Linked DNA regions of Diceros bicornis minor. The protein of the gene in region 4 interacts with the protein of the main gene of each other region in a pairwise test. Links are inferred from orthologs where the notes say so. Each region holds a gene or a part of one and is shown on either strand. Other genes may lie near its edges. The genes, in order: PPM1E, SPTBN1, NEFM and TNIK.

Region 1 (7,326 bases), on a different chromosome or scaffold from region 4:
TCTTCCTCAGCAAAAAAAGAGGAGGATTAGCACGGATGTTAGCTCAGGGCTGATCTTCCTCACAAAAAAAAAAAAAATTCCCAAAATAAACAGAGTGGGTGGGTATTTGAGATTTTTTTTTTTTTAATCTTCATCCTCCCCAAATAAGCAATTCCAACATATTCCTAGTCAGAACTATTTCAAAGTATTTCCTAGGAAATTTGAGAACCCAACATTTTGAATATGTCAGGGAGAGTTCTGAGGATAAGAGAGTATATTGAGAAATGTTGGAATCATCTGTACATAATTTGTCATTTCTGAATCTGGATCCACAGTTTTCTCATCTGTAAAATAAAGTGCTTGAACAGAAAAAATAATCTATTTCTAATAGTGCCTTCCAGTATTGATTCTTGTGACTAAGTCATGATTTTCTTTTATAAATAACAAAATAAAAACTAAATGTGTTGAAAGTATATTTTTTTAAACTGTGAGGGGCTTTTTTGCTTTTGTTTTTTTAATCTGGTAAGGACCTTGAAGATATTTTCATAAACAAGCCAGCCATTTTATACCTGAATAAAACTGTTTAGTAGCTTCTGCAGAAAACACAGTATAAATGATGAAATCTCTGATTTAACGTGAAATAATATTTTCCAACTTAAATTTTGCTAGTTTTACTTCAAATCCAAACTTCTGCTTTCAATTACATGGCTATTTTATCATCTGAATATTTTTTCTAGTTTATGTGTATCGAAATTAATCTTGCTTCCTTTCCATATGGAAAAACACATATCTTACCATCATCTTTTTACATATTTCATTTTTCAAAAAACCTTCTCGAATGGCAAATGTTCATGGCTGTTCTAAATTAATGACTCTCTTTTTAATGGACCTTCTCTAATGTTTAAATGTGTGTTTCTTTAATTCTGCAACTGCATTTGTAAAGGTAAGAACTGTCAAAACAGAATTAGTCTGATGCTGAGATAAATTCTTCCACTTTGGCAAACATTTCCATTTTATTTTAAGCAGGAAGTTTTAAGTGTCCTTATATAGTGCTAAAAAATGACATTTCATAGGCCCTTTTCTATGATAGTTTACAAACACCAGGAAGAAATACTCTAAAATGTTAATACTGTTTATCTCTGAGTGGTGGTATCACAAGCCATTTTATTTTGTACATTTCCCAAAAAGTACTGTTACTTTGGTAATCGGATAGTATTTCAAAATTAAATTTTAAATAGCTTATAAAGTGTGGGACATCCACACAGTCCACTTCTACAGAAGATATGTTAAATGCTTTTTCTCTCTTGACAAGCTTCTGCTTTAACAGGAAAAATGATTTGACCAGGTGTCTGTTAGGTAGGATGAAGACAAAACATTTACTTTCCAGGCCCTTCTCTTAATTTGGGCTTTTGAGAAAATCCAAGAAATGAGTGTGAACTTAATTGCAGGGACTCTTACAGCAGTAAACTTTCTGGGAGGGGCTAGGGTAACACCTTTCATTACAGCTATCGGCAGAATAGCAAAAGACTTTCAGGTTTACCAATGTTTTCAGAGACTTGTTAGCATTCTCCTCTGTCATTATTTCAGAACAATTCCATTTAGAAAGAAAGGCAATTGTAAACCGTTCTATTTCAAGCCCATAAAAACCAGAACTGGGATGAAAGGCAAAGCCTTGACCTTTCTATTTTAGACTTTCATCTGTGGAGCTAAGCCATCTGCTTTCTCTCCCCTACTCCATCTACTTAATGGACTGAAAATACCACACCTAATTGCAATTTTATCAAACCAGCCTGACTCTTTCACTTGAACGAATTATGACTTTTTCAGGCGTCTTTCACCTGAAGTCTCGCTCGTAAAATTTTGCTTACCCTTCCCTCCCAATTTCTTCCCACCTTCCTCAACTGTGCGTTATCAAATATCTTTAAACCAAGATATTAGCCTCCTGTGTATTAAGCCATCTAAAGAGCTCTTCACTTTCAACACTGAGCGGCTGACGGAAAAATCGACTCCAATCTCTCCTCATGTGGATATGGGGCCGGTATTATCATCATTGTTGCCGTTACGCAGGAGGCACCTCGAAGCACAGCCTAGAAAGGAGTCTCTCTGCCGCCAAACAACAGGGGACTCAGACTGGGAAACGGCAGACCCCGGAGGAAACCTCTGGGAGGAAGAAGCCAGCTGGGAAGAAGAGGGAGCTCTCAAGACTGGAAGGAAAGACCTTCCGAGGCACAAAAGGGGAAAGGGTGTGTGAAGCGGAGCAAGAAGTGGCGGCCGAGGGGAAGCGGGAGCAAGGGGCCGGGCCCGGCGGGAGGGCGCGGGGGGCCGAGGCGGGCGTGGGCAGCTCGCAGCCATCCGCCCGAGTCCGAGCAGCCGGGGCGCTTTCAGCGGCGCCAGACGCGGGTGCAGGGGAAGAGCCGAAAAGAGAGCAGTCTGAGGGGCCGAGGGAGCCGCGTCGCGGCCGGCGCGGCGGGGAAGCGGGCCCACCCCCACCCGAGCCCCGCTACTTAACTATTTGTAGAGCTGCTGCAGGCACAGGTCCAGGCTCTCGCCCTCCACCTCCTCGAGGGTGATGCGCTCCGACAGCGGCCGCGGGAGCGGGGGCAGCGGCGGCAGCTGGGGCTGCGGCGGCGGCACGGCCGACTGCCCCCGGGCTGCCGCCGCCTCCTCCTCCTCGCCCTCCGCCGCCGCTACCGCCTCCTCTTCCACCGCCTCCTCCTCGGGCTCGGGGTCTTGCTCCTGCTCTGGCTCCCCCTCCTCTGTCGCGGCTACCGTGGCCGCCTCCTCCGCGAGCTCCTCCACCGAAGCCTCGGCCGCCTCAGCCGCTACCAGTTCGGGCTCGGGCTCCGACTCAGGTTCGGGTTCCGGCTCGGGCTCGCCGCCGCCGCACGGTCCGCGAAACTCGCCCAGGAATAGCTCCAGGAAGCGCCGGTAAGTTTTCTCCTCAGGGATGCAGCCGGCCATCGCTGCTCATGCCCGGGGCCGACCGGGAAGTGGGTCGGGGAAAGCCCAGGAAGGGGTGGAGGCTGCCCTCGAGCCTCGGGCTCCCGCAAGGGCGGTTAACGGCCGCACCGGCACGACTGATCAGCACTAGGTTGCCTGGAGAGGGCTCCCGCAGGCGTGCGCGCCACCGAGCACGGACGTGCGCGGGCCGGGGGCGGGGGCGGAGCGCGCAGCCCCTTTCGGGTCTGGAGGGAAAGTTGGTGGCGGGCGCGCGCGCAGGGTCCAGCGGCGGCCCACCCTCTAGCCCTACTGAGAGCTCAGCCCGCGCTGCCTGGAGACTGTCGCTATGGCAACCGGCTCTAATTAAGAATTTCAGGGTCCCTCCCGTCGAGTCCGCGGTCGAAAGGACACTCGACTCTTCCGCTCTCCAACTGAATATCTTTATTGTATGGATGTCCTACCCTCAAGTGGGTAAGAATGAACTAAGACATCTCCAAGTCTAGCTGTTGGTTCCCGCTTATATTGGATTTACCTGTTTTCCTTATCTGTTCCTGTCTTGCCTTATTTAGCCTCCTTATCTATTGAAAGATACTACACTGTGAACACCTTTTGTTGTTGAGAACACTCATTCAGTAAGCAGTTTGGGGAGAGGGGCATCAAACACATACCAAGTGGTAGTTTCCTTTGCATACGTTCTCTCATTTGATTCTGTCAAGAAAGTGGTGTTATCCTCATTTCTCAAAAAGAAGAAACAGTATTAAGATTAAACACTTTACCTGCTTTAAGGTGTCAAAGCTACTAACCATGGCATTGGAATTAGAACCCAGGTTGTCAGCCTCCAAAGCCTTCTAGACCTTTTTTCCTTTACTCTTCTCTGCCTCTGAAGAGTCAACATTGCAATATGTCTTTAAAGCCTTATTTTTATAGGGCTTTATAGTTTACAAGTTGTTTTTATCCCTTTAGTTCTTACAACAGTGCCTTAAGACAGAGGACATTACCACTATGATTCCATTTTATTGATGAGGAAACTGAGCCTTAAAGACATTGTGACTTTGCTCAAGGTCACACACAAGTGATGCAACAAGGACTAAATCAGGTCTTTTCACTGCAAAGCCATTAGTTTTCCAGCACACCAAAACACTTCTCTTTACTCTCTGCATAATACATATTATACTTTATTACATAATATGTATTTTTCCTACATTTTGTTTGCTCTTCTTACCCATCCCCCCAAGCCTCTTTTCTTTCTTTTTTAGATTGAAACTGAAACGACTTTAAATGATTCTAATTTTCTTACCAAACTACACACAAACCTATTATTTTCAAGCCTTACTGAGGGGGGTGGAAGAGGCAGAAGCTGTGTTGTTAAACAGCTGTACAGATGATAGCATCATTACTGCATACTGCCATGTCCATGGCAACATATAATTCAGCAAAAACATAGTGATCTTTCTCTACTTTGAAAAACATGTTCACAAAAATGATCCACCCCATCCTCTCCATTTATTGTTTCTGGGTTTCAGTTGGATTTAGGGTCTTAAATACCATTTCTAGTCAGTTATTAATGGCAGAAGAAGGAGTCTCCCTGCTAACTGTTTTCATATAATACTGTATTCTAAATCCCTGACCTGATACTGTTATTTTAAGATTAAGTAAGTTGAGCTCACTAATGTACATTATGGCATCACATAAAATAGACGTTCATTCTCTCTCCTAGCTTGAGATTAAATAATACATGATAGAAAGTATATTGTGAGTAATGCACATGAGTCCTCTATTACTATTTATTTTTGTCTCAAAGGTAAATGGGAAGATCCAATAAATAACTCTGTTTCCAGACAAGCTAAATGTATTTATACGTGTTTTGTTTAAAACATCACCAGTGTAGAGCAACTTTTCTATGAGATGCCAAGAAACTCTTTAAACTCCTCATTTGCCTTTGTTTTCAATCCACCTGTTCATTTCCATTTCAGAATGTCTAGAAAAGACTGACGAAACTTTTAAGACTACAAACTGAAATATCCACAATTTTACATTCCAACAGCTATTTAATATCTCAGAATTTGACATGATGACATTTAAGTTCAAGAGTACAGAGCTGTCAACTGTAACAATTCATATCAAGCTACACCTTCCTACTTTGTAATGTAGTTGCCTCCCTCATCTGGGTGACATTTATTTGTGACATTAATTTATGACTCAACCCACATATCAAAAGGAAGTGTTATATGTTGGGGAAACATTACTACTAGGAGTAAAAGGAAAAGCCCACACCTCTATATTACTATAAATGAGAGGTGTTTGCTTATATTAATAAAGATATTTCTTCACATAAGATCAATATGGATCTTATTGCATCCATTTGACACAGTAGCTTTGCCAGAAGGTTGCTGAGAGCAGTGCTGGGATCTCGGAGCAGCTGTAGGATGATTTTGCCATTGTCAAGAAGTCTTTTTAGTCATTATTTTGCATTGCTTTACTTTCCTTTTTCAGTTCCTCTCCTCTTATACTTCCCTATCTACTTTCTTACTATCAAAAAATATGGAGCTATGAAAAGCATATGCATCAAGGGTATTTAAATTTTTTTTGAGTTTTTTTTCCATAAGAATTGTTTTTCCTCGGGGCCGGCCCGGTGGCGCAAATGGTTAAGTGCATGCGCTCCTCTGCGGCGGCCTGGGGTTCGCCGGTTCAGATCCCAGGTGCGCACCAATGCACTGCTTGTCAGGCCATGCTGTGCTGGCGTCCCATATAAAGTGGAGGAAGATGGGCATGGATGTTAGCCCAGAGCCAGTCTTCCTCAACAAAAAGAGGAGGATTGGCAGATGTTAGCTCAGGGCCAATCTTCCTCACAAAAAAAAAAAAAAGAATTGTTTTTCCTCTAACCCTTAGCTCTTTGGAGGAAATGCACAATGTCCTTTCCTGGACATTTATGGTAATGAAATTTATAAGGTTAAAAAGAATTGTTGAGTTTAGCAGTTTCTTATCATATGACCCAGCAATTCCTCTCCCAGATATTTACCCACAAGAAATGAAAACATGTCCACCAAACACACACACACACCACAAAAAACCTTGTATGTAAATGTTTGCAATAGCTTTATTCATAATAGCTCAAACTTGGAAATAACCCAGATGTCCATCAATAGGTGAATAGATAAATTGTGATGTAGTTCTACAATGGAAGTAGTAACTCAGCAATAAAAAGAAATGCATTACTGATAAACCAACAACATGGATGAATTTCAAAAACATGCTGAGTAAAAAAACTCCAGGCACAAAAGAGCACATACTATATGATTCCACTTATATGAAATTCTAGAACAGGCAAAACGAATCTGTAGTAACAGAAAGCAGATTAGTCGTTGCCTGGGGCTGAGATTGGGTGGGGGATTCATGGCGATGGAGTAAGAGGAAACTTGGTGGGATGATTAAAGTGTTCTGGGCCGGCCTCGTGGCTTAGCGGTTAGGTGCATGCGCTCCGCTGCTGGCGACCCGGGCCCGGATCCCGGGCGTGCACCGAAACACCGCTTCTCCGGCCATGCTGAGGCCAAGTCCCACATACAGCAACTAGAAGGATGTGCAACTATGACATACAACTATCTACTGGGGCTTTGGGGGGAAAAATAAATAAATAAAATTAAAAATAAAGTGTTCTATATCTTAACTAGTGGTTACATAGGTGTATCCATCTGTCAAAAATTATCAATGTGTGCATTTTAAATAAGTGTATTGTATGTGAATTATACCTCAGTAAAGTTGATTTTAAAAGTTAAAAATAATTGATTACCTTGTCAGTACTTGTCCTTTTTGGCTCTCATATCCATTCCTTCTCTCCTTTGCTATGCTCTGTGTTGTAGGGGGGCTGACACTTTCAGGATATATCCACCAAATTCCTTGACAGCTGACTTCCAGCTGGGATTTGCCCAGTGGGAGGCATTTTCAGGAAATTGGAAGGTGGGAGGAAAGGAGAAAAGCCAGGATATTTCTTCTCTGTTCCCTACCTCAGTCCTAATGACTGCTGCATCTCCTTTGTAGCTCTCCTCCCTCTGAACATGTCCACTGGGATTCCAGCTTTTGCCTCTGACACCAGCCCCTGAGCTCCAGAAACATCATCTTCTTCCATTTGTCCTAGAGATGGTAATGGGTTCCAGCTTCCTCATCTTGCCTGCTATGGACTGAATATTTGTGTTCTCTCAATATTCATATGCTGAAATCATAACCACAAGGTGATGGTATTAGGAGGTGGGTCCTTTGGGAGGTGATTAGGTCATGAGGGCAAAACTCGCATGGATGGGATTACTGCCCTTAAAGAGGAAGTCCATGGGGCCAGTCCGGTGGCATAATGGTTAAGTTTGCAGCTCTGCTTTGGCGGCCCCCAGTGTTCACAGGTTTGGATCCCAGGAGCAG
Region 2 (7,477 bases), on a different chromosome or scaffold from region 4:
AATGTGTCACAAGTAGAGAGTGAGGCCTTCTCACTAGCTCCTACAACATCTCAGACAGTTGTTACTAGTCTCACCCAAGAGATGCTCTTCACAGAAAGCCTGCACAACAGAAGATGACCAGGCGCTGGCAGTTTCTTCACTGCCGCAACGCTTCTCATCCTCTCAGTTGAAGGTTTTGGTCAGTTCAGAGACACAGAATTACAAAGAGCTTAATCTAACAGAATTCTGCAGCTGGTGTGTAAGTCAGAACAGCTAAACCTCCTGTGACATCAACACAGGATATTTTCTTACAACACAGTAGTAAATCCAAAATGTCTGGATAATCCATGGGAACAGTACTCCCAAACATCTTTATGCAACATGATTTTATACAACCAGCACAACAATGAAGGCCAAACCCAAAAAGTTCTACATTTTAATGGCCCTCTATCAGAGAAACTCAAAATAATGCACATAAACCACACAATTTGCATTCAGTTCTACTCTGCAGAGCCACATAAAATCAAATGCCACTAATTTGGATTCATTAGAGATTTAAAAAATAAAAGTAGACACGCCCTTGCTTTACAACACTGACCTTCCCTTCCAGTTAGAATACTAAATTCTCTTTTTCACCTATACATTTTAGAAGAGCTGGGGTGACATTTGAAATGCATCTCATTTGCCATTCCACACTGAATAAATGAATTGTCGAAGTGGCATTTAGAAGAAAAATTCCCTGTGTACTAGTCTAGACTAAACAAGACATAGGGAACCATCTCCTTCTGACCAGATAACAGCCACAGCGGCCTTGGGGGTCTGCCTTTCTCAACCCCCTCCCCAGCCACATCTGCAAAAAATATTTATACGAAAAATACATATAAACAAACATAAACGCAGTCAGTTACCATCACAATCCCATTAGTCATAACTGGAGACAACTTGCCTATCTAAATCAATCTGAGTACTTACCATCAATTATGACACTCATTTACCTAATAATCCTTAATAAAGAATCCAAATATGTAATTGTACTTGATTTACAGAAAAAGCAAACAATAAAAACAAAGCAAATACAGGTTAAAGAAACCATTTACTATCCATCAAAAAATAGGTTCCTTTTAAAACAATCTACTGAATGTCAGTATTTTTAGAAATGCCTCAAGGACACAAAAACTAAAATATATCAATCGCTTCATTTCAAAAAATGGTTTCCTCTAGGAAAAAATCCTTCTCCGTATTGACCAAAGACCGAGGTACAGTAATGTCATAGCTGCGAAGCTCCAATTAATAAACATGAACTTTCACATATGAAGAAACCGAAGGATAGTGGGGTTGTAGTTACAGATCATGGGTGATCCACAGAAAGACGCTGCGACTCCCAATACCGAATGCACCACTGCCTCCGCACACCGCTGGGCCCCGTCCTCCCTGCTGCCCCTCCCTACGGTTCAGGTCCCTCGGTCGGAGATCAGATTGCGGTCCGCAGCCGCAGGCCGGCTCCTTCTGCCCGCATTAGCGCTGCAGGGCGCCCCTTCATCCGAGCATAGCCCAACAGGCGGGGCGGAAGGGGGTCAGCCCAAAGAGAAGCCTCCCCCCTCACAGCGAGGTGACCTGGTCCTCCTGACGCCACATCCAGCTGAAGCAGCATGACAAGGTAGACGCAGCTCCGAGTCTCGGCCAAGGGCAGCCCCGGGCCTGGGTGGGGCCGGGCGGGGGCCGCAGGCGCCGAGTGGCCGTGCCAAGCCCCGCCAGCGAGAACCAGGGGAGGCTGCGATACTGCTGCATTGTGCTGCATCACGGCGAGGGCACCGTGAGCCATCCATCTTGCCAAAAAAGCACATCCCCGCCCAAATAAACCCCACCGAATCCATTTTTCTCCCCCACCGAAGCACCCCCACACTCGTCCTCTCCTAACTTACTATCGGGCCTGGCTTTTGACTGCAAAAATGGACACGGTTTGTGTACTGATCCCCACATTTCCCCTCCCCATCTGATGGCAAGCACTGGGCATCTTTCCTAACAGAAAAACAAAGGGAAGTCTCTCCCCCCCGAAAAAGAGGGCCACGAGCGTGGTGTGAGGAATGATGACGAGAGGGGCTTCCAGCCTACCACCCCAAAGGCAGGCCCGGAGGGGCTCCGCGCTGGTACAAACCTGTTGAAGAGAGGGTGGCAGGAGCTCAAGGGCGGGCGCAGCGGCGGCTCGGTGCCCCGAGGCGGCTCACGCCCAGCACTGGGAGAGTGGGGACGACAGGGAGGGCGGGGAGCGGCCGCGGAGGGGGGAGCGGGCGCGAGGATGGGCGGGGGTGAGGGGCGCCGGGCCGCCGCCTCCGGTTCAGCTGCAGCGCAGCGCAGTTCGGACCACGCCTGGCAGCATCCCCCGTACCGTTAAGCCTAGAGCCCGGCCCTGTCAACGCCGCCCCGCTCCCCACCAGCCGGGACTAGAGGGAGGCCACCTGAAAATACACCTTCCCTGCAGCCTACTCCGCACCCACCCCCGCGCCAGGGGCCGCTGCGCCTGGCTGGAGGGAGGCGGCGGCGGACGCAGGGAGAAGGAATCGGCGCCACTGCGCCCGGGGATGAGGCTGGGCGGCCGCGGTGCGCACCGCTGGTCTGCGGCCGCCTCACTGCAGAGCCCACCGCCCTCTGCCCCGCATAACCCTAGCAATAATTAGCACTGGAGACCCAGGCTTCCCGCGCCGCCCCCGCCCGGGCTCTGCAGCCTCCCCGCCCCCACGCCGCTCCCCCGGCGCAAGGCAGCGGCAGGGCAGCTGCGTCCTCCCGGCCTGGGCCCGCGCCCCTCCTCCCGCCCGCTGCCCGGGAGGCAGCCCCAGTGAGTTGGCATCTTCCAGCCTCAGGCCCCCTACCTACCTCCCGCGGATAGGGGTGGGGGCGCCGGAGTCCCGTCCTCCTCCCGCTCCTTGGCGGCCGGGCGGGTGGGCCGGGAGGCGACTCCGCGGGGCTGTCCGCGGCTGGGGCCGGGGCTCACAGGACGGGACCAGTGGGCGCTGCTGCGCGGGGCTGCGCGCTTGCTCCGGGCGGAGAGGCGGCCGAGGGAGGGACTGGAGGAATCCGCAGCCTGCACGGCAACAGCTGCACTGATTCCGGGGGCTGGGCGGGAGCGCGAGGTGGGCGGGAGGAGGGGAGGGAGCGCGCAGGGAGGGGGCGAGGGGCGGGGAGAGAGAGCGCGCGGGCGCGGGCGCCGGGTGCGCGCAACACGCGCGCGCACATGCTCTTTCCCGCACACCCTCCGCTCTCCTCTTTTCTCCTCCGCTCCTCCCTCCCTCGGTCGCTCCCTCTCGCCTGCCCCCGCCCCTGCTGGCAGCCCCGCAGCTGCTCACCCAGAGCCTGCTCCGCGCGCGAGCGGATCCTGGGGCGCGTCCACGCTTTCCCCCGCCGAGGCTCTGCCCCCGCCCAGCGCGGACCTCGTCGCCTGCCGCGGGGGCTGGCCGGGGCTGGCCTGGGCAGGATGGGCACCGTCGCCGCCGCTACCGGAGCAGAGGGACAATGAGGGCTTTGTCCCCACAGCCGGCGAGGGCCAATTTCACGTTTAATTTGAGGCTAATTCGATTATCGCCATGGAAAGGCGCAGCTTAATTTTCTGCGTGACTTGTGCAGCCTCTTTTCACCCGCGATGTTTGCGTTTGGAACGCGATGGAGAGAGCGTGCTGAGGGAGGGTTTAGAGCGTTGGTTGGCTGGTTTGGTTTTAGATCTAGGTGGTGTTGCCTTATAGGTTCCGCTCAGCCTGATGAAGAGCGATAGTGACTTCTCCGTGGGAAACCTTGGGGCGATGAGGGGAGGGAGGTGGTTCTTCGGTGAAGTCAAGATCTTCCTCCGTTGTGAGTGCTTTTTCATCCTTTCCCTCGGGGTAGCTGGGAACAGACCCCACAAGTGATTCATCCAACTCCTGCCTCTCGCCCAAACGCAGGCTTACTTTCACCTGAAGCGATGCTTTTCCGGAGCCACTCCTACGGAGAGGGGACGTCCCGGCTGCAGTGGAGGCCTTGCGATGGCTGGAGGGGCCGGAGTTCTCCCCCTACCCACAGTACGAGACGGACTCCGGACCTTTTCTCGAATTTTTCTCAACTGTCAGTGCCCCTTCCCAACCAGCTTGCCCACCCTGTCAACCCCCACAAGGCTATGTAGAAATTCTGGAACCGCCACTGTTGGGGAAAAAAGATGGTGTCATCACCAGGGCCATGAATAGAAACGCTCTTTAGAAAGCAGTCTGGAGAAAGTGACTTTCTGCTTGGTCTGTAGGTGTCCAACTGCGGCACTGTAAGCCTTCAGAAGGAAGAAGGCTTTTCTGGGTTGAAAAAGCCCCTTTTTCCCTAGAGATCTGACCCTCAACCCCTGAATAAAAAGTAGAAATAAAAGGCAGCCAAATAGTTTGGGTCATGCTTATATTTCAAATCAATAGACCAGAAGCCTGATGGGTTTATATTTGTGTGTATATATATTTTGTGTGTGTGTATGTGTGAGAAGATTGGCCATGAGCTAACATCTGTTGCCAATCTTCCTCTTTTTGGTGGGGAAGATTGTCCCTGAGCTAACATCTGTGCCAGTCTTCCTCTATTTTGTTTATGGAGCACTGCCACAGCCTGGCTTGATGAGCAGTGGGTAGATCCACGCCCAGGATCAGGCCTGCGAGCCCCGGGCCGCCAAAGCGGAGCGTGAGAACTTAGCACTGTGCGACCGGGTTGGCCCCTGTATATATTTTTTAAATGAACATTTTAAAATAAAACTACATGAAATTGTCCCAGCAAAGTGAAAATGATTCTTCCTTTTAGGCATTCACCATCAGTTTGAATGTTTGTATCAATGTTTACATTTGATATTTATGAAAAACAATGAAGGCAAGTAATTTAACATTTTTCTCAGAAGATTGATTAACATAGCCAGAAGGGGAACTGTCCAAGGGCCAGGTTCTTTGACTGTACATAGCAGGCACTTAGAAGGTGATCAAAAAATATTGGTTGAATTGAATGGAACAGAATCGGCATGTAAGGGCTGCCCTCATTAGGTAATACAGGAAATCCACTAGGAATGAGAGTTGTTTCCCTTTCACTTAGTTTGTGCCACGGCCCCCAGCACCTCCCCACCCACAGTGTTGATGAAAACCAAAGAAAACAATGGCAGTACTGGGAAATGCCTGTTGAAATTTTTCCAGTGTGATTCTGAATTGGTGTCTCTTGACTGCTTCCTTTATCGCAGATAACAGTACTTGAATAATCTTCATTTGATGGATGAGTCACCTCCCCTACCCCATTCCACTCCCACTTACTTTTTTTTTTTTAATTTTTTTTGTGTGTGTGTGAGGAAGATCAGCCCTAAGCTAACATCCATGCTAATCCTCCTCTTTTTGCTGAGGAAGACCCGCTCTGAGCTAACATCTATTGCCAATCCTCCTCCTTTTATTCCCCAAAGCCCCAGTAGATAGTTGTATGTCATAGTTGCACATCCTTCTAGTTGCTGTATGTGGGACACGGCCTCAACATGGCCAGAGAAGCGGTGCCTCCCTGCGTGCCTGGGATCCGACCCGGGCCGCCAGTAGTGGAGCGCGCACACTTAACTGCTAAGCCACAGGGCCGGCCGCTCACTCCCACTTACTTTTAAAAATTTCCTTCAAAAAGGGAGGCCTCACATAACCTTAGCAAGGTACTCTAGTAAAGTGGCAGTAAGTATTCCAAAAATGTGAAAGACAAGGATTCAAAATTTCACTATTAATACCTGCCTCACAATTTCAAATTCTTACCCTTTGGTGGAAAAATATCATCACCCAGGACAGCCCAGTGTACCGCCGACCAAAAAAAAAAGTAACAGGTCAAAGAAAAGACAGTCTAAGTCTGAAGAGATTATTGGAGAAGAAATACATCTCTGTGGAAAGCAAGAATCTAGAAAAAGATAAAAAGCCTTGGGCAGTAATGATGGTAACAAAGAATTATTCTCAGATATCTCAAAAGCAGCTTTGCTGAAGTGTAACTTCACATTAGCATCAAGGTTGATGTAAAGGAACCTAGAACTCATTGATATCATGTCTGTAACATACCCCTCTCCATTTTTAAAACCATGTGATTATATATGGCTTTAACTCCCATAGAGGCAGTACTTTATTACAAAAATTTTGCAGAAATAAATTGTTATTTTAACTTTCCATTCAAAATGTAGGAGGAAATCTTGTCAACATATATAGTAGTCACTATAGACTAGGTTATCATGTTATAACTCACAGTCCCCAAATCTCAGTATAATATGCAAGTCCCAAATTAACAAAAGCTAATTTATTACTTATATAAAGCCAACTGTGGTTTCAAGATACTCTCTGGGGAAGCTGTCTTCCATGTGTCAGCTCAGTTTTCCAGAATACTTTAATATTATGGTACCTCCATGTCAATGGGCGCTTCCACAATCTCCACTGTAGGGGGAGTGTGATGGAGGGTTAAGTACCAGCAACTAAATACTTCCACCCAGAAATGATGCAAGGTTTCCTCCACTCACATTTCATTTGCCAAAGCAAGTCATGAGGCTACATCTGAAACCAGATATTGATGCACAGTACTGTTGTGCGCCACTGCCGGCTACTTTAAGTCTTTCCTTGGTTATATTAACCCAATTAAAATCCATCTTTTATTGTACTGATAATAGCCTAAAATTTAAAAATCAGAACACATTTTGAAAACTTGAATAAATTTTTTTCATTTCTATTTACTCTGAAACGACTTTTTTTTAACCCCGAGCTAGTCTGGGAAGTTTCCTCAGATTAGAAATGTTCCATTTGGTTATTCACATGTATTAATTTTGCCCTGGGAAAACTTAAAGACTTACATGTTTAAACTGTCATTATTATGAGTGAGTATTTTTTGAGTACTAACAATACATTTATTGTATAAAATAATTCATTTTTTCATTTATTTGAGAAATGTATATGCCGTAATCTGTTCTAGGATCTGAAATAGAGCACTGGGCAAAACAGTAAAAAAATCACTGCCTTCATGGATCTTCCATTCTAGTAGGGGATAGAATCAATCAATAAATAAGTAAAATATATATGTGATAAATCTGAATATATGGTAATCTAAATATACAGAAATAACATAAAATGATCAGAATAAACAGTCTCAGCTTTCTATAAACGATCTTCAAATTTTCTTTTAATAATCATAAGCAGCGACTATAAAATACTTTCCAGTTTTTAACGTGCTTTAGCAAATGTCATATTATTTTGTCCTTTTGTCAGTTCTGTGGGGTAGATATTAACCCCATTTTATAGGCAAGAAAACTGAGACACTAGTAGGTTGAATGAGTTGCCCAAGTTTACACAGCTACTAAGTGCCAGAGATATCTGCTTAGAAGCTAGTATATCAGAGCTATGTGTCTGGTCATTGCATATTAATTATTAAAAAGTAATTCTGTTTGCAAGATGAAAAAAATTCTGGAGATGGATGGTGGTGATGGTTGTAAAACAATGTGAATGTACTTAATGCCAGTGAACTGTAC
Region 3 (6,850 bases), on a different chromosome or scaffold from region 4:
TTTTATTTTGGTTTCAACATCTGAAATCAAAAAGACCAAAAGTCAAAGCTGCTTTTACAGTTTGACATCCCGAGGCTCAAGTAGAAATAAGTACTATAGTTTTCATTTTCCTTATGTTCCCACTCCAGGGTCCTCAGTCCCTACGTTTCTACAACAGCCCGTTAAATAATTAGCAAAGGACAATTTATAAATAATCACTCATCATGTGTTGTAGAATCAGATCCCAGGCAAAAGGATCAAGTTTAAGACATCTCAGTATGTTGAGAGAAAGTACAGTTCACCTAGTCTTACACAGATTAAGCCTAGAACCTGACAGTGGCGTCTTCCATCCGGAGCATCTTGCCTGCTGTCGGGTTCCCACATTCCACCCTCTTTGCATTTTTGTGCATCAAAAAAGTGTTCTTTAAAATGTAAGGAAATACGGGAAGAAGAAAGAAAATGCCCAGCTCCTTATTTTTCTAACCTTATTTTTTGACCCAATGAATAAACCCCTTATGCAAAGGATATTTTCCCCATTATCATTAAATAAGACCTCACAATAGCTGTCTCAACTACAAAGTTAATGTTTGTACTTTACCTACTGAACGAACACATAGCATACTCTGTGTTTCCCTATAAAGTGATTCAAAACACACTGAGCTTATGGTACAACAATCCAGAGATAATGTCATTAAAAATATATTACATCTAAATCATATGTGTAACTTCCCTATTTGGAATAAACTATAAAAGTATCATAGTCAAACTCAACAGTGTTGTAAATTCAGATAAATCCTCATGCTTCTTTTCTCTCTTGTTAACGTTTTCAGAAGATTCCGTAGCCTTCGTGTCAATAGAGTAAAAAAGGCAAAACCTTACATTTTTTTCTATCAGAAACATTAGAGTGGTAAATGTTCTTCAAAAATATGAGACAAAGAGGGAAAAATGAATGTCACAGCTTTTTTTTAAAAAGTTTTTATAGTAAACTCACTGATGGGCATAACCTTCAAGTCACCTTCAGGAAGAGTGATTAAAGTGAAAATTCTAATATAAAATAAAGCGTTTTGTTAAATATGGAAATGGATCAATCATTTTTAAGCCAGAGGGAACTTTTTTTCCTCAGTAAGACAACTGTTATAAGTCTCTAGGTTATCCTACTGCAGCCACACTGAACAATACTTCATGTGACATTGAAGTTAGAATTTTAAGCTAGAGGCACTAACTAGATTTGGCCTGAGTAATTGGCTATTATTTTATTTGTACACAATGCTTTCCTCCTTCTGTAACCAGTTGGAAGCTTAACAATTTCCGAGCTGGTTTAGGTAAAAGGCAAAACAGGTTAATTACGAAGTTAGACATGTGTTTCCTCGTAAAGGTCTCTCTGCAGAGTCATCTCATTTTCAAAGCCCTGAAGAAAACTAAGAGCAGCAGCCTGCCCGTTAACCGTTTGCTCTCATCGCAGAAAGCGCTTTCAATGCATAGGCAACGTGAAACGGCCAAGGGTTTCTCTATTTTTTAATAAAAGCAGAAAGTAATAAGTAACTAAGGCATAATTACTTCACAATTAGCATTTGGTCTTATCAGATGGCATCTTGCAGTGTCCAACCTGGAGACTGTCAGTACTTCACAGAAGGGCAGGGAATTTTCTTTCTCTTTTCTTTTACATATCCACCTGAAACCAGAAAATCCTGTTTTCACAATATTCACAAGTCAGTCCTCTCACTCTATCATCTGTCTCGCCCAACAGCTTGAGACATGGGCTCTCCTTGCCTGAAAGACAACCCGTCACTCAGCAAACTAGAACATCCTTCCCCCACACAGCCTGCAATGCTGCAGTTACCCAGTAATGAACCAAAAGTAACTCCCTAACTTAACCCTTTCTATTTTAAAATACAAATGGGCCAATAGATCTTATAAAAATAAAAAATAAAAATAAAAACCTCTAGAAACCCAGGCCTTTTGTGATTACTTGCTGATTGATATGATCTTGTTATTTAATAACACAAGGACTAGAGAAAGCAGGCTGTGAAAAGAAAATATGTAAGTTTGGGGTCTCTACTTTTCACAAGCAGTGGTTTCTTCTCAGCCATGGCAAGCATTTCACAGGCACTCACTGTGCCTGTGGCCCCAGCAAACTCGGTCATTAGTCCTGCTTCCTGCTCTTCACTTTGTCGTGCAGTATTCTGAAGTTTTTTACCCTGAATTGCCCCCAAAGCACTATGCAAAAAGAGGGACATTTTAACAGTTAGCAGTGCACCAGACAGCAGGAAGTCTGTGTAGATTCCTTGCTTAAATAAACATGTTTAAAGATATGGAAAAATCTATTCCAAATCAGTCCTTAAAATCTAAACAGGGAAATATATTTTAAATGGAGGAAAAAATATCTCGTTTTGTTCAAGGTTGTGGTGAATCGGTTTGGCAACTTTTAAATTAATTTTAAATTAATTCAGATGTTTTTCAATCATTGCAGTTACATACAAGGAGGACTGAACAGAAAGATGACAAAGCAATTGCTTGTGTTCAAACTTATCATAAACTATATTTCCCTGGACTTTTCATCTCAGCAGATTTCAAATTCCCATTTCCAAGCAATATTTGACCTTCAAATTTCAGGCCCTGGGTCTCTTGATTTCCTGCATCCATCATATGTTAAAAAAACCCAAACTAGGCTACAAGTATATTATTTGTTACCTAACTTGAATGAATTTTAGTTGTTTTCAAAATCTGCAATCTGTAGATTGTGCCAACCCCGCATTGCAGAGAAATCTTAGCGTGCGATTCCAGCTTGGCTCCTGCAAACAGAGTCACTACAAACAGGCTTTAATTGTATTTACTCGGAGAGAAGAGGGGGAAGGAAACCCCCGCCAACCTGACAGGCCCTGCTGGGTGATGAGCCCCCGGGCAGCTGGATCTCCCGGCTTGCCGGCCTGGGCGCTGTCCTTGGTGCTGCCGGCGCCATAGCAAGCCAAGCGCCTTACCTTCTGCCCATGCGGAAGCTGCGGACGTCCCCCAAACGTTAAGCAGAATGTAGCGCCATATCCCACTTTTAATACAAATAACTACCCCGGCCCATCCTCTTTGTCCCCTTCCCGAAGGCTTCAGGCTGACCGTTCCTCAAAGTCTTTTTGTTTTTTTCTTCTAGGCCCAACTCCTCTGCGCTCAACTCGGGCTGCTTTAAGACAAGGAGTGGGGGAAGGGGAGGGAGGCAAGGGGAGATGAGGATGGGGGAGGGGAGGAATGTAGGGGGAGGGGAGGAAGAAGTAGGGGAGAAGGAGCGGACGGGAAGGAAAAGGTCCAGGAGGAAGGGGCTCAGAGAGAAGGGCGGAGTGAGTGGGACTAGAGAAAGCTTAAAGAGGGACGGCGAAGAGATGCCAAAAAGAGGGGGAAGTGATTAAGCACAGAAGAGGCGTAAAGAAAAAAGTAATGGAGAAAGGGCAAAAGAAGAGAAAGCCATGAGGATAAGAGTGAAGAGGGCTAGAAAAATGACAAAGGGGCCAGCGAGTCGGGAGAAAAGCTGCCCGAACAGCGGCAGAGTGACTCAACAAAGAAAGGGCGTTGGGTGAATACTCGCACCGAGAGCGTAAATGCAATCCAAAGGTGAAGAGAAATGGAGAGAGGGGGCTTGAGGGGCGACAAGTGGTCTGGGACCGAAAGGAGAGCTGGGGGAGGGGCCGGGGCCAGGGCAGCAAAGTCCGGGGTCCAACGCAGCGTGGGCCCACGTGGAGCGGGCGCTGAATCACTGTAGGCTGTCTTTACCCCCCCACCCCTCCTCCCGGCCCGGTGCCCGCAATCCCCGCCTCCTCGGCCGCCGCCTCCACGGGGCGGGGCCCTGGCCCGGGTCCAGCCGCCGCGGCTATAAATGGGCTGCGGAGAGGCCAGCAGAACGCTGTGACAGCCACACGCCCCAAGGCCGTCAAGATGAGCTACACATTGGACTCGCTGGGCAACCCGTCCGCCTACCGGCGGGTAACCGAAACCCGCTCGAGCTTCAGCCGTGTTAGCGGCTCCCCGTCCAGCGGCTTCCGCTCTCAGTCATGGTCCCGCGGCTCACCCAGCACCGTGTCCTCCTCCTACAAGCGCAGCGCGCTTGGCCCGCGCCTCGCCTACAGTTCGGCCATGCTCAGCTCCGCTGAGAGCAGCCTCGACTTCAGCCAGTCCTCGTCCCTGCTCAACGGCGGCTCCGGGCCGGGCGGCGACTACAAGCTCTCCCGCTCCAACGAGAAGGAGCAGCTGCAGGGGCTGAACGACCGCTTCGCGGGCTACATCGAGAAGGTGCACTACCTGGAGCAGCAGAACAAGGAGATCGAGGCGGAGATCCAGGCGCTGCGGCAGAAGCAGGCCTCGCACGCCCAGCTGGGCGACGCGTACGACCAAGAGATCCGCGAGCTGCGCACCACACTCGAGCTGGTGAATCACGAGAAGGCTCAGGTGCAGCTGGACTCGGACCACCTGGAGGAAGACATCCACCGGCTCAAGGAGCGCTTCGAGGAGGAGGCACGGCTGCGCGACGACACCGAGGCGGCCATCCGCGCGCTGCGCAAAGACATCGAGGAGGCGTCGCTGGTCAAGGTGGAGCTGGACAAGAAGGTGCAGTCGCTGCAGGATGAGGTGGCCTTCCTGCGGAGCAATCACGAGGAGGAGGTGGCCGACCTGCTGGCCCAGATCCAGGCGTCGCACATCACAGTGGAGCGCAAAGACTACCTGAAGACAGACATCTCGACGGCGCTGAAGGAGATCCGCTCCCAGCTCGAGTGTCACTCCGACCAGAATATGCACCAGGCGGAAGAGTGGTTTAAGTGCCGCTACGCCAAGCTCACCGAAGCGGCCGAGCAGAACAAGGAGGCCATCCGCTCCGCCAAGGAAGAGATCGCCGAGTACCGGCGCCAGCTGCAGTCCAAGAGCATCGAGCTCGAGTCAGTGCGCGGCACCAAGGAGTCCCTGGAGCGGCAGCTCAGCGACATAGAGGAGCGCCACAACCACGATCTCAGCAGCTACCAGGTAGGAACCGCGGCTGCGCAGCCAGCCTGCGCCAGCGCCAGCGCCGCGCGCCCCCGACACTCAGGCACGCGCCCCGGCGCGCTCTCCGCCGCGCTCCCTGGCGGCCGCTGGTCAGTGCGCGCGCGCGCGCGCGCGCGAGCCGCCGACCCAAGTCGATGCGCAAAGCTGCCTCGCCACTCTCCGTCCTTTCCACACTCCTCCCCACCCACCATCCCCAGCTCCTAAGAACCCTGACCTTTTTCAAAACGTGCTTCTTTTCCTCGGGAGTTCTAGTTTTGCACGCTTGCACATTTAAAGTAGGAGGTATACATTCGGGTAGTTGATAAAGCAGCAACTTTAGGATAGCTTGTGCAGAACCACATGCATTCTCAAGTTTTCCGGCCGTGATCGAAAGAATACTCAAAATTGTCTTTGGCCCAAAGGGGTCAGATGGGAAGAGCTAGGTCAGCCGTGGGGTTTCCCCATGCATATTTGTTTCCTGTTGAGACATATTCTAGATCCACTGGTCTCAGCGCATGATGTGTCTAGAAAGTGTCTTATTGATCCTGACTTTTTGAGAATTCCTTAGATTTTTTTTTAAGGGAGGGAAAGTGGCTAGGTATCCTCCTCGAGGGTTGCAGAGCTGGAGGGAGTCGGAGTGGGAGCGGAGAGAGGGTAGCGAGTGGTTTGCGAAAGTTGCTGTTTGGAAGGATGAGTCTGTGGCTGTGTCTGTTTCAGGACACCATCCAGCAGTTGGAAAATGAGCTTCGGGGCACCAAGTGGGAAATGGCTCGTCACTTGCGAGAATACCAGGATCTCCTGAACGTCAAGATGGCTCTGGATATCGAGATCGCTGCGTACAGGTACCGTGATCACTGCGGACGTGGCCGAAATGCTAACTGGCACTACAAAGGCTGTTCTGGCAGAACCTTCACCACTCTAACTTAAAGCAGACAGGTTGCAGGAGTCTTAAATCAGTGCCGGGTTTTCTTTCCCAATTAAAAAGAAATTATTCTAAAGAATTGCAGTTATTGCAGTTATACAACTTTCAAAGTAAACAGTTGAAATAAAATGTTTTGAAGGAGAGCACCAGTTAATTTCAGTGCTTATGCTTAAATTTTTTTATTTTAGTGAAAAATTTTTTCCCAATGTTTGGAACAAAAATGGAATTTTAGTTTTTAATATTTCATCTAGTGGTTTCAGCTTTTCAACTTTATAATGTCAAGGACAAACACCAGGAGATTCAATTTCTCTGTTTCTCTCTTAGAGCTTACTATTGCCATCAGCTGGCTTAGAATAGATACAAATTGATACATATATATTCTATTACATATATATTCATACATATTATATATATATTCTAATACATATATATTCTGTCTATTTAGATTTATGTGTATAGATCTAGATATACACAGCCAGAGAGAGAGAGAGAAGAGATTATAGGTCTACTAAATGATATCAACTTGCTGTTGACTGAGTTCATAGGAGAAAATCCTTGACTAAACAGTTTTTCTACTACCAATAAGGTCATTATAATATTACAAGAATAAATTGCACACAGGAATAAATAAATTCCTGTCTAACTTTTCAGGAAACCTGAATAATTATATTAAATAAGCATTTTATGGTCAAAATTGCAGACCAATTTATAACTTGATACACTCATATTAGCACCTCGCTATGATATATATATATATAGCCTAAATTCTGATATATGCTAAATAGTTTTGTAAATTTTTTGAACATTATATTTGCTAAAAGAAATTTAGTATACATTCTGAAAGTCCAAATGCTCAAGAAGGTTACTCAGGTTTTTTTTAGCCACTTAGGGAGCTTTTCAGCATATTCATGTTGCACCATATCAACTGCCTCAGAGCTGAGATTTGGTGGC
Region 4 (6,935 bases):
GTCTGGAGACATTTTTGTTTGTCACAACTGGGAAGATGTTATTGGCGTCTGGTGGATAGGGACCACGGATGCTGCTAAACATCCCACACCACACAGGACAAGCCCCCACAGCATGAATTATCAGACACATGCTGAGGTTGAGAAACTCTGCCTTAGAACAAGTGAACCAAGAGAACAAGGTAAAAGCTGAATTGCCTTTTACTTCCCAGCTTTAGAAGTCGTCTGTGTTCTATGTTGGAGGGATCTACAAAGGGTTTAAATACCAAGAGGTGAGGCTCACAGGGAGCCATCTTGGAGGGTGGCTACCATAGGCAGGAAGCTTTCCCTGGCCCTCTTCTCTTCTCTTTCTTTCTTTTCTTTTTTAAGTTTTCAAAGAGGAAAATCATTCTTATAACCCCCACCAGACTTTTCTTTAGTCAGTGTTGCATGATATGCCTTTGTCTAAACTAATCATTAGGAGAGAGAATAGAATTACTGTGAGGAGTTTAGACTATTTAACATTCACTCTCCCTCTGGGGCTGGGGAGAACCCATATTCTTTAAACACGTGGAGGATAAATTCTCAAAATCAGAATTTTCCTAGTAAAGAAGAAAGAGAATGACTTTGAGTGGATAACAGTCTGCTACATTTGCTTACCATTGTCTTTTGTGTGGCACATTTTTTTCTGGATTCTTTGGTAGAATATATTTTCCAATGATAATTTAAGAGATGATCAACCATTTGAATCCTTATGTGTCTGAAAGTATGTCATTATTCTATACTCTTTCTTAAATGTTACTTTAGTTGGGTAGAGAATTCTAACAGTTCCTTTAGAATACTTTGTTCCATTATCTACTAGCATCCATTGTTGCTAATGAGGAGTAGGTGACTAGAATTTTCTTTTTATCCTTAATGCTCTGAAATTCCATCATGATGCCTTAGAGTGTAGTATTTTTTACTTATTCACTAAACAGGAGATTTTAGCCTGAAGACACTAGAACATTTTCTATCATTTCTTTAAGTATCTCCTTCCATCCATTCTCCAGATCTCCTATTAGATGAATGTTAGAACTTCTAAATTTATTCTCCATATTACTTAAAATTTTGCTCATTGCTTTATCTTTTTTCCTGCAATCTGGAAGAAAACTAGGCCCAACCTTCTAGTTTACTAATTCACCCTTCAGTTCAGCCTGAGTCAGTACAGCATGGTGATTAAGAGCCTGAGTTCAAATCCTGGCTCAGCCATTTATTACTGTGTTGTCTTAAGTAAGTTAATTAACCTTTCTATTCTTCAGTTTACTCCTCTGTAAAATGAATATGCTAATGATATTGCCTACTTTATAAGATTATAAAGATTAAATGTTAATATATGAATGCTGAGAAGAGTATTTGCAGCAAAGTATTATTATTGTTCAATCTATCTATTCATTTTTAAAATTTCAATAAATATATTCTTAATTAGTCCTCTAACTGGTTTGTTTTCATAACAACCTCATTGTTTTGTGAATGTAAGATCTTGTGTTATCCCTCTGATGATTAAAAAATATATACTATAAAATTTGTTTTTGCTCTATTAAAAATAACTTTGGGTGTTCAATCATTTGTTGATTGAAGTTGGTCTCTCTTTCATAGTAATAGATTTCTAGGGATGATTGGCAATTCTGGGTTGTCTGTGCATCTTAGTGTTTGGAAATCTGATTTGCCTATCTGTGGTGCCAATTCTAATTCTGAGTGCTTGCTCTGCCGAGGGGGGGAGGGGGGCAGGACAGCACATGGTACAGGGCAGGGGATGCAGGTAGTTTGCTTTCTGGGTGTGTGTTCCCATTTCTCCTGGCAATTGGTGAGCAGCTCCCTGGGGTGATACCCTGTCTAATAAATATTTTATTTATTTATTTTTTTTTGTGAAGAAGATCAGCCCTGAGCTAACATCCACGCTAATCCTTCTCTTTTTGCTGAGGAAGACTGGCTCTGAGCTAACATCTATTGCCAATCGTCCTCCTTTTTTTTTTTCCCCCAAAGCCCCAGTAGATAGTTGTATGTCATAGTTGCACATCCTTCTAGTTGCTGTATGTGGGACCCGGCCTCAGCATGGCCGGGGAAGCGGTGCGTCGGTGCGCGCCCGGGTCCGAACCCGGGCTACCAGTAGCGGAGCCCGGGCACTAAACCGCTAAGCCACGGGCCGGACCTGGAGTTTTAAAAATAGTTCTGTTCATAGATCTCAATATCTGATCTTAAATTATTTTCTTTCAACATTGAGACAATACATTAACCTGTCATCTAGATTAAGGATAACAAAGGGACAGAGAAGGGAAAAATAACGATGTTGATGGGAAATGATAGTTTTTAACGTCGTTTCGACATTATTGGTGGCTTACTGCACGTTACTTACAACCTCGAGCTGGATGATTTTATTAAAAACATGAGAGATGAAACCGAGCGTTTTGAATACAACACGTTTAAACGTTTGACGTTTTAATGGTAAAAGCTCCTAAACATTACTGTTGTGGCCACTAAGATGTTGGAATAATCTCAAGTTTCATGATCCACAACGCACATAAATAGATACAGTAATATTAACAAACACAGCACAGCGTATACCGAATGCTGTGTCAAAGTCTTGTAAAGCCTGGAGACGCGATGAACTGACTGCCTTGGCTTTCATTCATTCACTCAAAAGCCTTATTCTGAAGCTGATATTCACATCACACAATTAAAAAACCCGCAGAGCACTTGGCCAGAAGTAAATGCTCATCTTAACAGAGGTGCAGATAATGCTTTCAAAGCTACTGCTGTATTTGGGGGAAAGTTCAATTTTAGCGTTTCTTCGCATGTATTTCGCGTGCCCACCAGGGCTGGAGAGGAGGGGCTGTGCGGGGAGTTGGGGGAAATGACTTCACACGCTTGATAACAGAATGTCGTGTTTACCACTGTAAACGTTCAGTCTTTAAATGAGAAAGCGGGCGGAGTAAAATCGCTCTCACGCGATTTACATACATTTTACGTTCCATCTTCTTCCCCCAGCCAAACTTTCTCCATCAATCTGGGTAGGTCAGCCGCGGAAACGCTGCCTGAAGGGGAAATGCAGGGTCCTGAGGCGGCGAGTGTTGCCATACCCAGTCTTGCTTTTGGAGTTACCTGAAGCATTCAAGCTACTGCACCCAGAGAACAAGCTTCTCGTTTCTATTCGGTCGTTTCCGTGGGGAATTGCGGCACGGGCAGGTCCTGGGTGTGGCGATGCCAAGAGGGAGCTCAGATCTCCCAGCTTTCCCGCTTCTGGCAAACCTTCCCAGCTCCGAAACGGCGAGTGACCGGCCCTCGAGACCCGCCATCCGGAATCCCAGGGACCGCTGGCAGACCCGACCCAGCGGCCGCTGCACATTGCCAAAGCGCGGGGCTGGGCGCGCTGTGCGAGTGCGCTTCTCCCCCATTCGTTCCGCGGCTGGAGGCGGATCCCCTTCCCAGCACACAAGTCCTTATATGCACCGGTTGCACCAGCCCGCGTTACTCCAGCCCCACAAATAATTAATGGGGGCGGGAGGGCGTCGCTCTTTTTTTCCTCTGGATTTTTTTCAGCGCTAGAGTATTTGAACCCTGTGGAGAAACCCCCAGATGCGATTGAAGGGCCATTTTGCTCCAGCGCATGAACTGGACACACAAAAATAAAGCCCCCTTGTCCTCACGATAAGCACGGCAGAGTTCAGGGACAGCTCTTCAAATCCGGCCGGATTAGCCAGCAAAAGCCTGGGCGGAAAGGGTGCGCGCCCCTCCCCCACACACGTTGGTGCAGAGCGACCGGGTCAGGAAGCGCGGCCTCTCCCCAGTCGGAGACCACGCCTCCTCCGCCTCCCCCCCCTTTACTCCTCCCAGGAAGCGGTGATAGACAGTTCTGTGTGGTTCTCCACCCCCACCCCCCCCAGCTGAGTGGAGGAGTTGATGTGTCTCATTATAACAGCCAATGCAGCCGCCATCCACGCACAAGCAAAGAAGCATGTCCCATTTAAATACACCCACGCAGCCCCAGCGCCCTTAGCCGATCAGGGCGCGCAGCCCACACACACCGCGGCTCCGGGCTTGGAGATCCGCGCAGGTTGGGCTCCCGGACCCCGCGGACCGAGGCGCGGAGGATCGGGATCAGGCGCTGTGGGGCGGGGGTGGGCGGGGGAGGCTGGGCCCCGGGCCTCTGGCGCGACACCCGCATGAGGACGCGAGTGAGATAGACCAAGGTGGAATTTCCAAGGGAGAAGCTTCGGGGTGGTTTTGGTCCATTTCTCCGGCAAAGAAGTAGACATGGCGAGCGACTCCCCGGCCCGCAGCCTGGATGAAATCGATCTCTCGGCTCTGAGGGTGAGCACGTTTTGATTTCTTTCCAGTGGTTTGGGTCAGGGTAAATGGGCTCGGTGCGTGGACTGGGGCTGGAGCTGGTGGGCAGAGGTGGGGGAATGCGACGCGGACGGAACCTGGATTCTGGTTTTGATTCCGGGCTGTTGAGGTGCTCTTGGCTAAGCCCCCACGGCAGGGGCTGTGCGGTACGTGTCCTCCTTCGTTTGTGGCCGAGGCTCCCCCGAGGGCACGTGGAGCTTATGCCAGTTTCATCTTAGACCGGAGTAAGAGCATTAAAATGAAAAGCTCGTGTGTGTGTGTGTGTGTGTGTGTGTGTGTGTACACAAGCTCCGGGCAGTCGTCTCGTGCCAAGGCGCGAGACCCCACTGTCCCTTTCTGCAAAAAGAAGAACAGCGTGAATAAAGGCACTGGGTCCTCACGTTTTCCAGCTACCTGCAAGATGGTATTGTGAGCCTGGCTCTCCCCACGAAGCCGAACCTGACCCTCCAAGGGGACAGCTATTGCTATGCTAGTCTTGTCGATGGCAACTGCCGCCCCTTCCCCCTTTTCTGCCCTCTGCGCCCCGACTCCCTCTCAGCGCTCTCTTAAATGCCAGTCTGTCACTCACCTTTATTTATGGCTTTAACTCAGCCCTGCCTGTGCTTTCCGACTCTGTGGCTGTGACATTTCAGTTTTATGGCTGAACTTAAGCAGGTGAAAAGGATGTGTTCTCTGCCTTTCCCCAATCAGACCGGAACTCCCGAGAGTGAGTGAGTGTGAGTGTGTGTGTGAGTGTGTGTGTGTGTATTTTCCCTGTGTCTTCGGCCAGTCCTTTGTAGAGCCCTTCCCTTCCCCTCTCGGCCCCGCTGGTTTGCATTTACCTTCACGTGAATTGCCGTTTCATTGTATTGACTAAGACATCACTGGTATAGAATCCATTTTGCTGTTGTTTTGAGATGAGAATACCAGGAATCCCAGTGCAGCCCCGACGCCACCCCACCCCCACCCCTCAGTCCCAACACACTCCTTTGGGGAAGGGGGCAGATTTTTCTTGCCATTTTAATTAGATGCTGCCTGCGGGGAAGGGGGTGAGGGGTGGGGGTGGCAGCAACAACGGGGGGACTGAGAAGGATTGGACACCAATTGAAGGACGGCTTCTTCCTCTCCTGAACCAAAAATAAAATTAAAAAAAAAAAAAAAAGCCAAAGCCGCTTCATATACTTGAGGCATGGAGGGTCGGTGAGACCGAATTGATGGTGGCTCTCAACGCGGAGACAGGCGGGATGGGTGAAGCTCGGAAGTTCACACGCCCTCCCGAGGAATACATTGTTAGACTGATGCTAAATCTCGGCGCTGTGTACCTGAATCTTCAGTACTTGTGACATTGCCTCCTCATCCACGGTTATTTTAAAGACTTACCTTTATGGTCAAAGTGGTACTTTTTCTTTAGTCTCCCCAATCCCCCCTCCCTATCCCCCCCTTTTATGCTCCCCTTCCCTTTCTCCTGAATCCTTCCATCCAAGAGGTGAGTTTTCTGCAAGGCAGTCAAGGGGTTGAGAAGGAACAAGAGATGCCATTTGAAACTGGCTTTTTTGATAGTTGGGCAGCAAAAGCCCATTCATATGTTCGTACAGTAAGCCGTCTATTGCCCTGGCGCCGAAACGCCACATTCAGAACCCGCTGCCCCCTGGGCAGCTGGGGGTGGGGGTTGGTAACAGGGTGGGTGCTTGGGCCAAGTCTGTGGCTTCCTGCTTTATAGACTGTGTTCATTTGCCCTACTTTCTGCGCTGGGAGTTGCTGCCAGCGGGTTAAGCAGGTGGATAGATGGCCCAGACTTCAGGGTAGGGGAAAGTGGCAAAGGCAGGGCATGAAGTCTGAACAATGGGCAAGGCTTGTGATTTCCCTGAGCTGGAATCTCGACGTCACTCCTCTAATGGAAAGCGCTCTGATGTGATTTTTAAGTTGGGCTCAGTCAGAGGTCTCTCTCGTGGGCTTATTTTCCTGGGGAGGGTTTTCTGAGATACCGAGCACAGAGCCTGCAGGCTTGTGAGCCACCCTGAGGGCCCACCAGCTGGCCTGGAGTGCAATCCACACATGGGAGGGCTGTGATCCTGAGATCTGTGTTTTGAAAAGATATCTTTGCAGGATTCACTGACATTGCTCTTTGTGGCCTGGGCTTAGTGCTCTGCCTCTGTTATTTCTGCCTGCAGGAGGTGTGGAAAGAGAGGGCTAGAGCGAGCTCAGGAGCTGGGGAACTGCTGGCTGGAGAACTTAAATGCCCATGTGGAGATAGATGCATCCAGAGGGCTAGGGTCTGTGACCAGCCCTGTGGTGGGTGAGGTGTGCAAGCCCCGAGTGGGTTCAAAGGCCACATAGGTAATCTCCACAAATCAGAGGGCAGATCATCTCTCTGTCTTCCCAAATCAGGAGAGGTGGGCTAATCTAGATGAGAGGTCCATTTGTTCCTAAATCCTCAGTAAAGCCAGCCTGCTGAGAACCTCCTGGGGAATGCCTGACCCCTGAAATGCAGCCAAGGTCAGTGGCTTCTAGGAGAATTTGATGCAGCCTTACCAGTCCCTTGCTGTTTCGGTGGCTCTTTAGTGTACACAGTCAATGCTCTTTTTGTAAACCCTTTG

The links.
Region 1: the proteins of TNIK (region 4) and PPM1E interact in a two-hybrid assay, tested with the Homo sapiens proteins (2 studies listed by BioGRID and IntAct). The link is inferred for Diceros bicornis minor from reciprocal best matches to the Homo sapiens genes TNIK and PPM1E.
Region 2: the proteins of TNIK (region 4) and SPTBN1 interact in a two-hybrid assay, tested with the Homo sapiens proteins (2 studies listed by BioGRID and IntAct). The link is inferred for Diceros bicornis minor from reciprocal best matches to the Homo sapiens genes TNIK and SPTBN1.
Region 3: the proteins of TNIK (region 4) and NEFM interact in a two-hybrid assay, tested with the Homo sapiens proteins (2 studies listed by BioGRID and IntAct). The link is inferred for Diceros bicornis minor from reciprocal best matches to the Homo sapiens genes TNIK and NEFM.

Annotation. Positions count from the first base shown.
Region 1 is NC_080757.1:28,983,341-28,990,666, forward strand, and holds the start of PPM1E (protein phosphatase 1E), read right to left. Parts: upstream 3,023-7,326; 5' UTR 2,941-3,022; coding exon 2,489-2,940; intron 1-2,488. UniProt on the Homo sapiens protein: Protein phosphatase that inactivates multifunctional CaM kinases such as CAMK4 and CAMK2. Dephosphorylates and inactivates PAK. May play a role in the inhibition of actin fiber stress breakdown and in morphological changes driven by TNK2/CDC42.
Region 2 is NC_080751.1:31,959,642-31,967,118, forward strand, and holds the start of SPTBN1 (spectrin beta chain, non-erythrocytic 1), read right to left. Parts: upstream 3,014-7,477; 5' UTR 2,851-3,013; intron 1-2,850. UniProt on the Homo sapiens protein: Fodrin, which seems to be involved in secretion, interacts with calmodulin in a calcium-dependent manner and is thus candidate for the calcium-dependent movement of the cytoskeleton at the membrane.
Region 3 is NC_080750.1:68,933,030-68,939,879, reverse strand, and holds the start of NEFM (neurofilament medium polypeptide), read left to right. Parts: upstream 1-3,850; 5' UTR 3,851-3,897; coding exon 3,898-4,977; intron 4,978-5,694; coding exon 5,695-5,819; intron 5,820-6,850. UniProt on the Homo sapiens protein: Neurofilaments usually contain three intermediate filament proteins: NEFL, NEFM, and NEFH which are involved in the maintenance of neuronal caliber.
Region 4 is NC_080754.1:50,589,409-50,596,343, forward strand, and holds the start of TNIK (TRAF2 and NCK-interacting protein kinase), read left to right. Parts: upstream 1-3,924; 5' UTR 3,925-4,266; coding exon 4,267-4,323; intron 4,324-6,935. UniProt on the Homo sapiens protein: Serine/threonine kinase that acts as an essential activator of the Wnt signaling pathway. Recruited to promoters of Wnt target genes and required to activate their expression. May act by phosphorylating TCF4/TCF7L2.